4 linked regions of the Rattus norvegicus genome follow. The protein of the gene in region 3 interacts with the protein of the main gene of each other region in a pairwise test. Links are inferred from orthologs where the notes say so. Each region holds a gene or a part of one and is shown on either strand. Other genes may lie near its edges.

The links. The genes of interacting proteins can lie anywhere in the genome.
Region 1: the proteins of L3mbtl2 (region 3) and Stac3 interact in binary tests that used the Homo sapiens proteins (3 or more experiments, as listed by UniProt). The two-hybrid records come from large-scale screens. The link is inferred for Rattus norvegicus from reciprocal best matches to the Homo sapiens genes L3MBTL2 and STAC3.
Region 2: the proteins of L3mbtl2 (region 3) and Tbc1d9b interact in binary tests that used the Homo sapiens proteins (3 or more experiments, as listed by UniProt). The two-hybrid records come from large-scale screens. The link is inferred for Rattus norvegicus from reciprocal best matches to the Homo sapiens genes L3MBTL2 and TBC1D9B.
Region 4: the proteins of L3mbtl2 (region 3) and Phf10 interact in binary tests that used the Homo sapiens proteins (3 or more experiments, as listed by UniProt). The two-hybrid records come from large-scale screens. The link is inferred for Rattus norvegicus from reciprocal best matches to the Homo sapiens genes L3MBTL2 and PHF10.

The regions. Positions count from the first base shown.
Region 1 is NC_086025.1:65,227,068-65,231,274, forward strand, and holds the start of Stac3 (SH3 and cysteine-rich domain-containing protein 3), read left to right. Parts: upstream 1-1,407; 5' UTR 1,408-1,446; exon of another isoform or gene 1,447-1,688; intron 1,689-2,388; 5' UTR 2,389-2,484; coding exon 2,485-2,550; intron 2,551-2,788; coding exon 2,789-3,053; intron 3,054-3,268; coding exon 3,269-3,366; intron 3,367-3,561; coding exon 3,562-3,625; intron 3,626-4,207. UniProt on the Homo sapiens protein: Required for normal excitation-contraction coupling in skeletal muscle and for normal muscle contraction in response to membrane depolarization. Required for normal Ca(2+) release from the sarcplasmic reticulum, which ultimately leads to muscle contraction.
Region 2 is NC_086028.1:34,959,815-34,963,811, forward strand, and holds the start of Tbc1d9b (TBC1 domain family member 9B), read left to right. Parts: upstream 1-1,197; 5' UTR 1,198-1,290; coding exon 1,291-1,408; intron 1,409-3,997. UniProt on the Homo sapiens protein: May act as a GTPase-activating protein for Rab family protein(s).
Region 3 is NC_086025.1:115,073,041-115,076,540, reverse strand, and holds part of L3mbtl2 (lethal(3)malignant brain tumor-like protein 2), read right to left. Parts: intron 1,068-3,500; coding exon 950-1,067; intron 358-949; coding exon 223-357; intron 1-222. UniProt on the Homo sapiens protein: Putative Polycomb group (PcG) protein. PcG proteins maintain the transcriptionally repressive state of genes, probably via a modification of chromatin, rendering it heritably changed in its expressibility.
Region 4 is NC_086019.1:64,638,868-64,643,164, reverse strand, and holds the start of Phf10 (PHD finger protein 10), read left to right. Parts: upstream 1-1,497; coding exon 1,498-1,581; intron 1,582-3,351; coding exon 3,352-3,458; intron 3,459-4,297. UniProt on the Homo sapiens protein: Involved in transcription activity regulation by chromatin remodeling. Belongs to the neural progenitors-specific chromatin remodeling complex (npBAF complex) and is required for the proliferation of neural progenitors.

The DNA.
Region 1 (4,207 bases), about 50 Mb from region 3:
GCAGGGGTTTTGCGTAAGCCTGGCCACCTGAGTCCAGTCCCCAGATCCCATGGGTTGGCAGGAAAGAACTGACTGCAAGAGTCAGTCATCCTCTGCCCTACACACACACACCTGTGCTCACACACGACAGACAGACAGACAGACAAGACGAGAGGACACAGGCAGCTGCAACCTTTCCAGGCTTAACTATACTTATCGGCTCCTTGGACCACTGAGACCAACCTGACTTTTCTTTAAAAGGTTCATTTATTTTTATTTTATGTGTGTAAGAGGTTTGCCTACATGTGTTTATGCACACCGTGCCTGCCTGATGCTTACAGAGACCAGGTGTAGGGCCTCCAGAACTAGAGTTGCAGAGCTCTGTAAGCTGCTGTGTGGATACTGGGAACTGAACCCAGGTCCACTGGACGAGAAGCTGGGCCATCTCTCCAGCGCCATAGCTTTTGGGTTTTGCCACCATCTTTTTCAGTAACATACATTCTCTTCACTTTTTTTTTTATAAATTTATAAATTTTTATAAATTTACCTATCTATAGCCTTCATGCCAGAAGAGAGCATCAGATCTCATTACAGATGGTTGCGAGCCACCATGTGGTTGCTGGGATTTGAACTCAGGACCTCTAGAAGAGCAGTCAGTGCTCTTAACCACTGAGCCATCTCTCCAGCCCCCCATTCCCTTCATCTTAAGGACAGGATTTAGAGGGGGAAAGGGAGAAAAATACCTGTGCACTTCAGAAAGTACTGCATACTCTGATGAGCTGCAACTGAAAAAGTCTTGTGTGATTGACAGAATTCTGAGTCACACCCTCTTCTCAGCTCCTAACCTTTCCCTGGTCTACAGTTTTAGTGTTAGCTAGGCACGGTGGCACATAGCTTTAATCTCAGCACTCAGAAGACAGGCAGACCGATCTCAAGTTCAAGTCTGGCCTGGTCTACAGAGCAAGTTCCAGGACAGCCAGGGCTACACAGAGAGACGCTGTCTGGGGGGACGTGGGGGGAGGAAATAAAATCCAAGAACATGACTGAAATGAGCCCAGGGAGAGTAGAATTGGAACGGTTATTTGAACCTTAATGGGGAGAGTATGGGGCCTTCATTGTCAGATCTAAAGTTCCCTCATGTAACTGTGTCCTGAACAGAAGTTCCTTTCCTGCTGTGGGTATAGCTTAGTGGTCCAGCACACAATTAGCATGACAAAACCCTAGGTTCAATTCCTGGTACTTGGGAGTGGGGTGGGGTGCTACAGTGTTCGGTAGAAAATGCCCCTTCCTGATAAGCCAGTACTGACCTGCTTGGGTGTAAACACTCAGAGAAGAGCAGCTCTGGGGGGATGGGAGGAGTCAGGGTCGAGCCCTGCCCCAGACCTCCTGGTTCCAATTTCTGCCTGTCAGCTGTGCTCTCAGCTGTCCACTGTCCTCCAACTCTGTCACTTCAGCTCTACCACCACGGTGAGAGGTTCCAAGGCCTACTAATACAGTCTGCATAGCTGGTGTGGGTCCAGAAGGTTGCAGAAGGGGGGCTTACCCAGAAGAAAGAGGGCTGGCCCTCCCCAGCAGCACCATCGAGGTCTTAGGGACGCCCTTTCCACAGCGAACTGATTTAGGGAGTCTCAAAAGTAAGTCGTCTCTTTATTACCCTTCCATTTCTCCTATCCTGAGTCTGTTGGGCCTCTTCGTCTCTCTCCCCACCTGTAAGTAGATTGGGTTTTTTGAAGTGAAATTGTCCTAGTTCAGGAAAAGCCAAGATTGGGGGATGGGGTAGGGTGTGGTGGGGTCCAGGGAATGGAGTGGTAAGGGAAGGAAAGAAAGGCTCATCTTACTCTGAAAACCTAAAATAGCTGAGGCCTAAGGCAGGCCAGGAAAGGACTAGGCACAAGGCCCCCAAAGCTCAGGAGAGAGGTAGGGGAGGGCAGATCCCAGGACACACCTTCATACATGCAGATGGGTTAATGGTGTTAACCAGGTTAAACCTCCTGAATCCATTAGAAGATATATATCTTCAATCAGGACTATCTGTAGGACAGCCGTTCTCAACCTGTGGGTCACATATCAGATGTCATGCATGTCTGATATTTACGTTACAACTCATTACAAATACATAGCAAAATTATAAGTTGTGAAGTAGCAATGAGATCATTTTATGGGTCACCACCACATAAGGAACTGTTTTGAAGAGCCACAGAGTTAGGAAGGTTGAGAACTGCTGCTGTAGGAGAACCTAGAAGCCAATGGCCTTGAGCAGCATACTGGATTTGTAGACTCTCGGGCTGTCCCTTGAGGTGGAAAGTGTCAGTTTAAGGAACTAGCTGGGAAGTCTTTCCTCTGTTGGACATTTTTGGGGGGACTCCATAGAATCTGTTCAGAAGCTCTGCCAATGGCTATTTAGTCAAGTTTCTCCCAAACCCTCCCCTTCAAGGGCCACCCTACTGTGCGGCAGGAACACTGGGATAGAATTAGATCTCATAGTGGGGTCCAACCTCTTGTAGGATGACAGAAAAGGAGGTGGTGGAGTCCCCTCAGCCCCCCTTTCCAGGAGAGACTCCGCAAAGTGGGGTGAGTCTAGACCTGTGTCCACAGTTGGGGAGGGGTCCGAAGGGCTGGGAACCATCACAGCATCTGAAGGAAGCTGCTTGGATTGATACCACTTGTGTTCGACTCATTAATTATTGGGCCAGCCAACACCTGCAACACCCAGTCCCCTAATCCCAGGGACACTGCTTTCCCATGATTGGAAAATGGGAATGGAACGTGACTCTCACTTAACGTTGGGCTTCCTTCACCCCTTCCTCAGCTACAGCGACTGAAGCAATTATTCAAGAAGGGCTCTCCAGAGACAACCGAGATGGAGCCTCCCCCAGAGCCCCAGGCCAATGGAGAAGCCGTGGGGGCTGGGGGTGGCCCCATCTACTATATCTATGAGGAAGAAGAAGAGGAGGAGGAAGAGGAAGAACCACCCCCAGAACCTCCTAAGCTTGTCAATGACAAGCCCCACAAGTTCAAAGATCATTTCTTCAAGAAGCCCAAGTTCTGTGATGTCTGTGCCCGGATGATTGTGCGTGAGTCTTGAAGGGGAGCAAAGACAGTAGGATGGAAGGCTTGGGGGAAGGACAAGACCCAGGAGAAATGTGTGTGAGACACACTGTGGCAAGATCCACCCTATGAAAATACTGAGGTTGGCAGAAAAGGGCAGGCAGATCAGAGCTGAAGTAGCCTAGGGTACAAAGGAAAAGGGGGCCTCCAGAACCTCACTCAAATGTTCTCCTCCTCAAAGTCAATAACAAGTTTGGACTCCGCTGTAAGAACTGCAAAACCAACATCCATGAACACTGTCAGTCCTACGTGGAGATGCAGAAATGCTTCGGCAAGATCGTGAGTAGTGAGACTCTGGGGAGTGAGAGCATGGAAGGGAAGGTGAAGGTCATCAAGTACTTCTTGCTGGCCCCCAAAGCCATCCCATACATTGGCTTTCTCTTACTCTAAGAAGGGCTGAGCACTCACTTGTGGTGGGTGGGATTCTGAACCCTGCCTTGCTACTTCTAATGCTCTCCGCCTCTCGTCCAACAGCCACCTGGTTTCCATCGGGCCTATAGCTCCCCACTCTACAGCAACCAGCAGTATGCTTGTGTCTGTAAGTGCGAGTCTAGGACCTGAGGGAGGGGGCGGGCCTCCAAGGTGGCGCCATACCACCCCTTAGGAAAATAAATTCTGAAACAATCATTCTCTTTCCATAACTCCCCCTCAGACTAGTCTTTCTACAGTCACTTCTGGATGCAATGATTAGTTCCCTTGGTTTATAACTCAGAGAGACGCGAGTGAGCAGGCCAGAGGTAGAGACAAGGATGGAACCTTAGTCTGCTTCCTGTAAACCATTTCTGAGCAAGGACAAGGATTTAGACTGTTTCTACCCTGTATAGAGTGACACCACATTTGGGACCAGCTCATGAGCTACGGATACACACACACACACACACACACACACACACACACACACACACACACACACACCGCCAGACAGGTTCCTAATCTAGCATCCCTTAAAAGTGTATTCCTTGAGGGTGCATTGATGGTACGGGCCTTGAGTCCAGCACTCACAAGGCAGAAGAGCTCTCTGACTTCCATATGTAGCCAGGGCAGCATAGCAAGACTGTCTCAAAGGAGGAAACACAGTAACAGGCCTGGTTCAAAGTCCATGTTTCTTCTGGTCACTTGA
Region 2 (3,997 bases), on a different chromosome or scaffold from region 3:
ACAACCATCTGTAATAAGATCTGATGACCTCTTCTGGCTACGGTGTACTTATATATAATAAATAAACCTTAAAAAGGGGGGGAGGATTTGGGGATTTAGCTCAGTGGTAGTAAGTGCAAGGCCTGCAAGGCCCTGGGTTCGGTCCTCAGCTCCGGAAAAAAAAAAAAAAAAAAAAAAGTTGTACTTCACTCTGGCTGTCACCCATTACATCTGCCACACCCTCGAATGCCAGTAACAGAACCCAACTCAAGGGTCTGTGGATGCAGCCCAGAGTGCTTGCCTAGAATGTTGAAGTTCTCAGTTACATCCCGAGTACCACCACCTAGCAATGGGGATGGTTGAGGAAGGGGAATCAAAGAGTCTCAGATCATCCAGAAAGTTTGAGACTGGCCTGCAATACAGAAATATTAGAGACTCTGTTTCAAAAACCCTCCAACTAGCTCTCCAAATCCTCCCAGAATGATCTACCTCTCCTTCCTTTCACCCTTCTGCCCTATCCAGGTGACATGGGACATACAGCTGTCTCCCTTGCTTTTACCAAAATAAATATGGTTCACACCTGTTGTCCGGGCGGAGTCCATTGCGCCTTTGAACCAGAAACTGTCGTGTTCCTAATTGCTTCACCGGGCTCTAGTTCACAGAGCCAGCAGTGGCTAATTTTGCTTCATGGTTCCGTGGCAGAAGCCCTGGGCTGGGAGCTGAAGATGAATTTTTACTGTCAGAGACTGCCGCCTTCAGGCCAGGAGAGGTAAGAGCAGTGCACTGCACTTCCAGCTCATACTGCTGTCGGCTAATGCAAAAAAAAAAAAAAAAATGAGGGCGGGGGAAGGCTCATCTGTGACCCCAGCCTCAAGGCCACCCCACCCCAGTCCATCTGTCAGTAGGTGTGAGTATACTTATTTCAAAGGACACCAGCTGCCCTTCCTGACAACTGGGCTCTTAAGGTTTCCAACCTTAGACTTGAGTCAAAATTCCGAGACTGACCAGGAGCTGCTAACCCTTCTCCCGACGCTTTTTGTAACATTAACTCTCCTGGGCTGCACAGTAGGCGGAGAGCATGTGATCCCCTACACTCTGGAAAGCGGTGGCGAGGCTGGACAGGACTGCCAGGCCAGGAGAGGTCGAGGAGGGCGGCGTTGTGAGCCTGTGCGGCCGCTAGGGGGAGCCACCATCGGGCCGGCGTCTCGACCCCGCCCCGGCCTCTCGGCTCAGCTCGGCTAGACTCGGGCGCAGCGACCGCGGCGCGCGCTTCCGCCTCACGGGCTCTGGCCCGGTGTGAGCTGCCGCGGGATGTGGCTCGGCCCGGAGGAGGTGCTGGTGGCCAACGCGCTATGGGTGACGGAGCGGGCCAACCCCTTCTTCGTGCTGCAGCGGCGCCGAGGCCATGGCAAGGGTGGCGGCCTCACGGGTGAGCGGGGCGCGGGCGGCCGGGCCTGTGCGCAGCAGGCCTGGCGGGGCAGCAGGACGCGACCCGCGGGCACGCGCAGTGGCACAGGGGGGTCGGAACGCGGGTGAGGAGGACGGTCCTGGGGCGGGCAGCAGGGGAAGGACACTAGTGGCCCTCCGCCGGGACGTGTGCACCGTCCTGTAAAGTGACTTAACAGCCAGAAGCCAGCAGGGTCCCCCAGCTCGCCCTCTGCCTCAGTTTCCCCAGCTGCCTCTGAAGGACCAAGTGGTGTAAGCACACGTTTTCTTTTACCCCCTTTACTCCTAGTTCACTGAAGAATTGCCTCTTTGTGAAGACCAAAGATGCCCTGACCTCTGCTCCCCTTCCTCCTCCGGCTTCTTCTCACTTGATGCCATCCGAGTTCCCAGCCCAAAGCTTGTTTTTGCATATTTATCAGCATTTATGAAGTGTCCCTCTGAACTACCTCAGGTGCCTCTTAGGTATCTGGGCACTACCACTCACACAGAAGCAGCTGGAGTGGGTGCCTCTGACTTTGTGTGACATGTGGCACTGTAGGAATCTATTGAACAGAATTTGTTGGAAGCCCCTTAGGCTCCAGGGCCTGTCAAGTACCACAGATCTGGCCCTGCAGCAGTTCCAGTACGTGGACCCTTCTGGATGCCAGATCTTTCGATACAGAAAGTGAATTTTCTGTGAATGCCCTGATTTTTCAGTGTGGCAGCCGACAGTCCTGCCAGATGCAGTTGGAGGCCTCTCATAGGTGACATCAGCTGCCAGCATCTCATGAGCCACACTTCTTAATGTGGAAGGGACTGTACCTATTCCAAGAAAACTCAATGTTCTCTTCCACAATCAGGCTGCTTCTCAAAGGGCCTAGAGATGACTGGAGGTGGTGCTGGGCCTGCCTCTGGGGCCCAATGTTTATTGTGAGTTAGGAAACGGCCCTCCTGGACAGCCCAGTGACCAACCTTGGAAGCTACCATAAGCCCACTGAGGAACATAGGGCACGGTCATGGGACAAGTCCTTTTTGCTTTATCATTCATCTGTGTCCAAACCCCCCCACCCCTCGCCCCCAAGGCTGAGCATCCAGACTACTGTGCCAGCCGTCCTGTAAATTCCAAATCCCAGTGAGCCAGGTTTGTCCACAACCTCCTTAGCACTGTATCCCTAAGAGATTCATCAGTAATGCAGGTTTCTTCAAGCCTCTTTGCAAAACTGACCAACCTGGCCTGAGGAAGCAGCTCAGGGGTTAAGGACGGCTGTCCACAACCTCCTTAGCACTGTATCCCTAAGAGATTCATCAGTAATGCAGGTTTCTTCAAGCCTCTTTGCAAAACTGACCAACCTGGCCTGAGGAAGCAGCTCAGGGGTTAAGGACTGTAGGAGCCAGGTTCAAATACCACAGCCATCCGTAACTTTGGTTATAGAGGATCCAGTACCCTCTTCAGGCATCCATGGGCACCAGACACAAACACGGTGCAGAGATAAACATGCAGACACAACACCCGTACATGTTACTAAGAATGAGATAAGTCAGCCATGGTGGTACATGCAGAGGCAGGGGGATCTCTTGAGTTTGAGGCCAGCCTGGTCTAGTGTGAGTTCCAGGACAGACAGGGTTACACAGAGAAATGCTGTGCTGTCTTTAAAAAAAAAAAAAAAAAAACAAAAAAAGGAAACAATTAAGATAATAATTAATATTAATAATAGCTTGTTAACTTGAACATCTAATTAAAGAGTGGGTGTGAGGAGAGGGTCAGTAAGTTAAAAAGATTTCAGGTCCTGCAATATGGCTAAGCCAGTAGTTTATACAGAAACTCTAAAAGAGTGTTCCCAAGACCAAGCGGAAAACCTCAACGTGAACATTCCGAAGTTGACTGCGAACCATATAGTAAGGCTCGGACGTGCCTTTTTTCTTTTGTTGTGGTTGTGGTCTCACTATTTAGCTTTGGCAGGCCTGGAACTCATTACATAGACTAGGCTAGTCTTAAACTCACAGAGACCAGCCAGCCCCGTGTGCATGCAGGAGCCCATGCCTGTATATGTGGAGGCCAGACGTTGGCACGAGTGTCTCCTACAGCTCTCCCCAACCTTGTGCTTCGAGATGCTGTTGGTCAGTGAACTCCAGAGATCCTGCACTCAGGTTACACGCCCAAGCAGCCACGCCCCTCGTTTTGTGGGCACATGGGATCCGAACTCCGATCCTCCTGCTTTCATGGTGGGCCTTTTATTAGCTGAGCCACTCTCCAGATTCCTAACTGCAATGTAAAGTGACTGGACTTTTTTTTTTTTTTTAACAATTTAGTAAAACAAACAAGAAATTGTTTAAATCTATTCTGTAACTGCTCGCTGCGCTTATTAAAGATGGGGGGGTGTCAGATGAAAAGTGGTAGGTTAGCAAAGAGTATTAAAAGTGAATAATAGAGAGAAATGGTTTTGTAAGCCAAGAAGACAGCAGCAGCAGATTTCCAGATCTCCCCAGAGGCAGCACTTCCTCGAAAAGGAAGGAATACGTTTCAAACAGGAAAAACAGGCAGGGTCTTTCGATTACGTCACTGTTTAAGTAATCAAGAGGAGTGGATCAGGCA
Region 3 (3,500 bases):
AACACCTTCTGACCTCAGGCTCTTGCACACATGGTTCACACATGGTGAACAGACATTCACTCAGGCACACACATACACATAAAGTAAATATATATAGAAAGTTTATATATATAAACAAGACCAACAAACAGGCACTATAAATCCAAACTTCGAGACTGGGTAGGGAAGGCTTCTGCCCAGAGCCCTACAGGAAGCAGCATGGGAGCTTTCTCACTGACTCACTCCGTGGAGGCACCAGGATCTTGCTGTTGATGGCACACCACCCAATGGGGTGGACGTCCACAGTCCCCAGGTTGCACCAGAAGTCATGACTGGCGTCATTCTCAAAGCCTTCATATCGGAGCAGTACCCGGTACCCTGAAAGGAAGGACAGGGGACCTCTGAAGGTGGCGTGAGAGGCACGTTCTCAGGCCTTCTTCTCTAGCACCAGCCAGGCTCCCCATTTCCTACTCCAGGAACTCCTTCTGGGGTAGTGGGGTCCCCGACACGCAGAACAAAACACCGTGCTGTACTCTTAGCATTCTGGGCTGGTGATTTCTATACCCGCCTCATCCCCAGAATGAACCTTATTAAAGAGAAAAGGAGATGGTGGAGGTGGGGCATGCCTTTAATCCCAGCACTCAGGAGGTAGCAGAGGCAGGCAGATTTCTAATTTTGAAGCCAGCCTGGTTTACAGAGTGAGTTCCAGGACAGTCACATCTACACAGAGAAACCCTGTCTCAAAAAAGCAAAAACAGCCAACTACACATACAAACACATAACAAAACAAAATCAACTTTCAAGTTTTAGTCCTCTCATGTAAAGGAGGAGAATCTCCAAGAAGAGGAAAGAAAGCTAGTGGCTGAAGTTTTGATTTATGAAACCCATTCACCCTGTAACACCATCCACCCACTAGATATGACACATGGCAGACAAACTCCAGACCTGCTCTGGCCAGAGGAACACCCACCAGCTGCCTGGATGACAGTGGCGATCCAGTACACCCGGCTGGGGAGCACGGCGTCGCTGTTGAGGACTTCTACCTTCATCCCCTTCATGACGTCCTCCCACTGGTCATAGAGGGGTACCTGTGTGGCGATGACAGCATTGATGGCTGAGGAGCTAGTTCCTCACCCTGAGCCCTCTTATCCTCTGCACCCTCACTTCACATCATGCACAGTGCAGAAAACGACGACTGAAGAGAAGAACAGGGCGTGCCCACTGTCCAGAAGCATGGAAGTCGGGGAGCTAACCACCAGGCAGAGCCCCGGGAGGGCCTGACACAGACCTGGTTCTCATCACTGCAGGGCCAGCTCCTGACCTTTTTCTTTTTTTAAAGATTTACTTATTTATTTCATGAACGTGAGTACACTGTAGCTGTCTTCAGACACACCAGAAGAGGGCATCAGATCTCATTACAGATGGTTGTGAGCCACGTGTGGTTGCTGGGATTTGAACTCAGGACCTCTGGAAGAGCAGTCAGTGCTCTTAACCACTGAGTCATCTCTCCAGCCCCAGAGTAGACATTTTGGTGTACAAGTGTCTTAGTACAGACATTTCCTCCCTAACATCATTCAACCTGGGCTCAAACACAGGGCTGGCAGAACAACATCCACGCTCGACCCAGTCCCTTCCTTCTGGGTGGCTTCTGGCTTCCTTCCCAATGCTTAATCCTTGATTTGCTGCCAACAGGAACTTGAAACTCCTTTAGTAAAAGCATCACTTTCCACACTCAGACCTGACTTGAACCAGAAACCATCCATATCCCTAGGTAGACAGGTTCACATAGACCTGAGGAAACATGGAGTGGCCCAGACACACAGGGCAAGCTCTGTACAGAGCATATGAATCTGTGTTAAATATGATTTAATTCCCTACAATAAGCAACTCAGAGGAAGGACACAGTAGGACCTAGGAACAACTTGTCATAGCACAGGACAAGCAGGACAATCCAGGAAGGCCAAGCATGGCTTACTGAGGTCAAAAGACAGTCTCAGGAGGCCTTCTGCCAGGCTTTTGGAAATGGGATTGAAAGGAAAAAGAAACTGGGCTTGGTGTCTGACATCTGTGTGCCAGTACTTGGGAGACTGAGGCAGAGGACTGCTTTCAGGCCAGCCTGGTATTTATAGTGAGTTCTAGGCCAGCCTGAGCTATAAGACCCTGTCTTAAATTAAAAAAAGTTATAGACAAAAGCAGCCCTGCTGTAGATGTTCTAGGCTAGCACAAGGTACAGCTGCTGGGCACTGTTCAGTTCTTGACTTCAAGCTCATCCAAAGATACAAACAAGGCCTCAACCCTTCACTTGTCAGGGAGAACGAGGAGCCCCCACTGGAGTGTGTCTGGCTTCAGAAAGGGCCTTAGACAAGGGCTGAGAGTGCAGCTTCATAGTCAAATTGCAAGTAATCCCTAGTGCCAGCAAAGGTGAACTGGGACCTGAGAGTTAACCAGTAGAAGGATGGGCGTGTTGACACACACTTGGGAGGTTGAGGCACGGGGTACAAGGCTATCCTCAGCTACATAGTAAGTTAAAAGCCAGCCTGGGATACGTGAAACCAAAACATCAGTCCAGGTGTAGTGGAGGCAGAGGCAGGCAGATCTCTGTGAGTTCCAGGACACCTAGGGATACACAGAGAAGTCTTGTCTTCAAAAGCCGAAAACCAAAAGCCAAAACAAACAAACAAACAAACAAACAAAACACCAAAATTAAAACAACAAAAACCAACTCCTCAAAACCAAAAGCAGGGCTGAAGAGGATCAGGGATTAAGAGCACTGCTGCTCTTGCAGAGGACCAGGGTTCAGTTCCCAGCACCCACACAGCAGCAGCTCACAGCCATCACAGTCCTCCACCTCTAAAGAATGTGGAGCCAGGGGCTGGAGAGACGGCTCAGTGGTTAGAGCACTGCCTGTTCTTCCAAAGGTCCTGAGTTCAATTCCCAGCACCACATGGTGGCTCACAACCATCTGTAATGAGATCTGATGCCCTCTTCTGGTGTGTATGAGGACAGCAACAGTATACTCATATATAATAAAATAAATAAATCTTTTTCTTTTTTTTTCTTTTTTCTTTTTTTTGGAGCTGGGGACCGAATCCAGGGCCTTGCACTTGCTAGGCAAGCGCTCTACCGCTGAGTTAAATCCCCAACAAAAATTTTTTTTAAAAAATGAAATAAAACATACAACAAATATCCCACAAATAAAACAAAAACAATTTTTTTATTCCTTTTGTACACAGATTTTCTCTGTGTAGCCCTGACAGTCCTGGAACTCTCTCTGTAGACCAGGCTGGCCTCAAACTTACAGATTCACCTGCCCCTGCCTTCTGAGTGTTAGGAATAAAGTGTGCACCATCCACACCACCATCACCAACAACAAAAGAAGACAATTTTAATGTGGGAACAAAACATGGAGAATGAAAAAAAAGAACACCCTTGATTTCAAATCACCCAAAACTCTACTGTGTAAATCAGCCCTTCAAAAACCAGGGGCAATTTCAGATCTAGGGACTCTGCAGACCAGACTA
Region 4 (4,297 bases), on a different chromosome or scaffold from region 3:
ACAGCTCTATCTTTCATGTGGACACACTATATTTCATGTGAGGAGAAAATGCTGGGTTTATTGTCAGGAGCTAGAAGTCCTGGCCATGAAAGGGAACTCAAATTCTGAAATCCAAGAGCTAGATCATCTTTTCTGATCTGGTCCTGTACATTCTTGGAAGAGTTGTGGGGAGTGTTGTGGATGGGGGCTGGGGAGCATAGGGGTGCTTCTCTGTCCCTTGCCTTTGTCTATTGGACCTGTTGTCTTCCTGGTGCTCCTTTCAAAGGGTGGGGTCCGGCCTTTCAAAAGGCGAAGTCTAAGAACTAGGATCAATATAAATCCAAGCACACTGGCTTTCATTTCCCAGGGATTCCCAATCCTGTGTCCTGCAGGTGATTATGTTTTCTGACACTGTCATATGGTTTGGGGGACCTTCTCTATGTTCTTGCCTGATTGGGTCCTGTTCAGCCAGAGTGCTGCTCTGACTTTTCTCGTGGCCACTACACCTAGGTTTCGGGAGTGGCAAATGTAGAACAAAGGAGCCAAGGGCGCCTTGGGGACCCAGAGGTGTGCGGAGTGAAGATGGCGGGGTGGGGAAAAGGCACTACAGGAGAGGGGATCTCAAGGAGAGAGGAGGCGGAGCTCCTGGGGTGGTTGACCCTCAGGGCTGAGGAGAGAGGAGGAAGTAGACTGAGGACTCAAATCCTTCAGTTACAGAAGGGAGCGCAGACACTGGTGGAGAAGGGGAAGGTGGCCGCGGGTGTGGGGACCCCAGGCTGAGGGGAGGGGCTGGGACCGGTGGTGGGAGGATACCACGTAGCGGGGACCCTTGATTCGGGGTGGGGGCGGGAAGAGACAGCGTGGTGGAGACCCCTGGCTGAGGGGAGGAGCTGGGCACCGGTGTGTGTGTGTGTGTGTAGGGGTGGGGGTTGGAGGACACGCGTGGTAGGGACCCATCTTTCACGGGAGGAGCTGGCGACCCAGGTGGGGACTAGGCAGCCGCCGCCGACTGAGGACCCCCGGCTGACGCGCGGCGGAGGAGGGGAGGGGGCGGGACCGCGGCGGGGCGGGGCGGCGCGGAGCCGCGGCTGACGCGAAGGGCCGGGCTGGGGGCGCAGGGAAGGGGCGGCGGCGAGCTCGCCAGGCGGCCAGGAACCCGGGTCGGGCCGGGGCCCGGGCCAAGGCGGCAGCTGGCCAGCGGAGCTCAGGCCGGGCGCGGCGGGCCGGGTGAAGGCGGCAAGGCGGCGGGCCCCGGCCCAGGCCCGTAGAGCCGCGCAGCTGCAGCCGGCTGACGTGAGCGGCGTGCGGGTCCCGGCCGGCGGCGCGCTGGCGGCCATGGCGGTGGCGCTGGCGGGCCGCGGGGCGCGCGGCGGCAGGGGCCGGCCCCCGGGCGGGCGGGCGGAGGGGGCGGGGCCGGGGCGCCGGGCGGCCCGCGCGACAGCGGCGGCAGCGGCGGCGGCGGCGGCTGGGACTAGGCGACGGCGGCGACGACGACGGAGGCGCGGGGCGCTGGGGCTGATGGCAGCGGCCGGGCCCGGGGCGGCGCTGTCCCCGCGGCGGTGCGACAGCGACCCGGCCTCCCCCGGAGCGCAGTCCCCGAAGGTGAGCGGAGCGCGCTGCCCAACGGCTGCAGCGGCCCGGGCCGGGTTCGGGAGCGCAGTGGGGACAGGACGGCGGGTCCCCAAGCAACAAGTGCGGCGAACGGTGGGCGCGGACCTCAGGGAGACCTGCGCGGCGGGTGGGAAGTTGTCGGGGAGTAGTAGGGACCGGAAGACTCGCGAAGAGTGGTTGAGACGGAGCGCCCGCAGCCTGGGGAAGTCAGAAAAGTTGCGGCCTTTTGGGATCTCAAGTCCAGGAGACGCTGAGCGGGGCGTGCGCTCGTGGTCCCGAGTTGGCAGAACGTGGGTTCACACCCACAGACTCGGCCAGCCGAAGTGACCCGTCCACGTGCCCGTCCCTCCCCGCGGGGCCTCTGTCTGCTCCCCTGTGAACCTCACTGTGGCCGGGCCCGAGTCAGAGCAGCGCCCGGGGGCTGCTGGCTCCTGGCCCCGACTGAGGACCTTGCAGAGAAGAGGGCCTTACCTGGAACGTAGCCCTTAGAATTCATACGGTTGTGAGCTGTTAAACTCTGTGTCAACTTCCATTATTGTTTCTTTTCGAATGGATCATTGTTTTTAACTAAAAGCGTTTTTAAACAGAAATCTTTAAAATATTCACAAATTAGTAAAATAGCGCTTAAAATGCTTCAGAGCTTAAAATGAACCTTGTCAAGCAAGTATGGAATATGAGTACTGTGAAAAATTAAATATTAAATATTATCTTTCAACTTGTTTTTTAGTTTTAAAAAGGAATATTAAGTTTGTTTACTTGACTTCATTTTTGATGAGTGAAAAGGAGAATGGTTTCTTTTTTTTTAATTTGAAAAATAATTTTAGTAAATTCCTAGGTGCTAGAGACATAGTGAAATGTAAAATCACTGCTAACCTCAACGTTAACATATATCAGTTATGCACTAGCCCTTGCTCTTCATGTGCTCATGTATCACTTCACTGAATCCTTGCATCAGCCACCTAGGCTTTCAGACAGGGAGAAGCTGGCAGGTTACCACACAGCTGGTGGACAGCTGCTCCATACGACTCCAGGCAGCCCACAGTGGCATGCTGACCTGACGTGCTGGCCTGTGCTTCCTTTTTATTTTCTTTCGCGGGTCCTTATTGAAATATATAGTAAGATTAGTAGTGTTAAGAGCTATAGTACCTTGATTTAAAGAACTATGAGCTGAAGCCATGAGCAATATGTAAATGAATTATTTTAAAAACATTTGACTACTTCTTTCCTTAATGGAATGGCTCAACAACTTATATCTTCTATGAGCTTATCACAATGTGCTGAATTTCTGCTATAGAAGAAAAAGAATGTAGTTAGACTTGGTAACCTGTGTCCAGTCCTTCATCTGCAAAGTAGCTAATTAGAATGTGATCTGGTAGGCCAGTTGTAAATGGAAGTGTGCTACAAAATTTGTTAGTATTTATTTCCCAGCTCAAATAGGAAGGCTTACTTTGATTTTAAAGTGGTTTTGCTATTAAAAAGCAGAAGACATTTGAACACAACCTAGTTGGTAAGAAAATGAAAGCAGAGTACATTTAAAATATAGTTGAAAATCAATTTTGTTTAGATTGAAGGTCAGTTTTTAGATTTATTCCATTTCTTATAACAAATTCTCTGTCCTTTTAATTATTCTAAAATTAAGTTTTCTAAGGACACTAGGTAGAAATGTGCTTTCTCTTGTTGATATTTAGGCAGACTGGAATGATACAGAATCACTCTTTGTTTTTAATTCATTTTAACATTTTCCATTTTTTTAATGTACAGGATGATAATGAAGATAACTCAAATGATGGGGGTCATCCATCTAAAAGAAGACGAATGGGTTCAGGGGATAGTTCAAGAAGTTGCGAGACTTCAAGTCAAGATCTTAGGTACTGCTGCTTTAAGGCTCAGTAGTGACTTCTGTAAACTGTTTGCTCACTTCTTCTTTCCTATCCCAGGCAGCATGAAAAGTTATTAAAAATTATATGTATGGGCTGGAGAGATGGCTCAGAAGTTAAGAATGCTTGTCTAACTGGAGATTGGTTACCAGCACCCACCTCCCCCAGTCTCCTGTAAGCTCCAGAGGCGCTGATGTTCCATTCTGTCCTCCACAGATGTTTGTACACATATACACAAAGCAAGCAAACAAACAAATCTTTAAAAAAGAGTCATATAATATAATATCGAAGTTGGTCTTGCTCCTGAGAACTATTAAAAAAAACAAACGATAAAATAGGTACATAAAATACAGCCATCGTAACACTTTTTATATATAAGAAGTATAGTTCAGTGGCATTAATTACATTTACAATATTGTGCAACCATCACTCTCACCCCTTTTCAAAACTTCAGTAGTGAAACTGCAGAACCCCCCAGTACCTCCTGTTCCTTCCTGCCCCCTGCTGCTGGTTGGTTACCAACTAAGTTCTCCTTCCTGCCCCTGACTGTGAACCATACAGTGCCTATCCCTAACCATATTATCTTCAAGGTTCATCTGTGTTGGAGGTCCTGAAGTCTGAACGATATTCCACTGTATGTGCTGCTACATTTTGCTTATTCCTGTGTATGCCTGCAGGCTGGGGTAATTAATGCTGAAGTGAACACTGGCGTTCAGAACCCTTGCTCTTAGTACCCTGGTATATAGCTAGAAGTGGAAAGCTGTACCATATGGTAATTCTGTGTTCAGCTTTTATAAGGACCTTCCATACATTTCCAGTGGTACCACCAT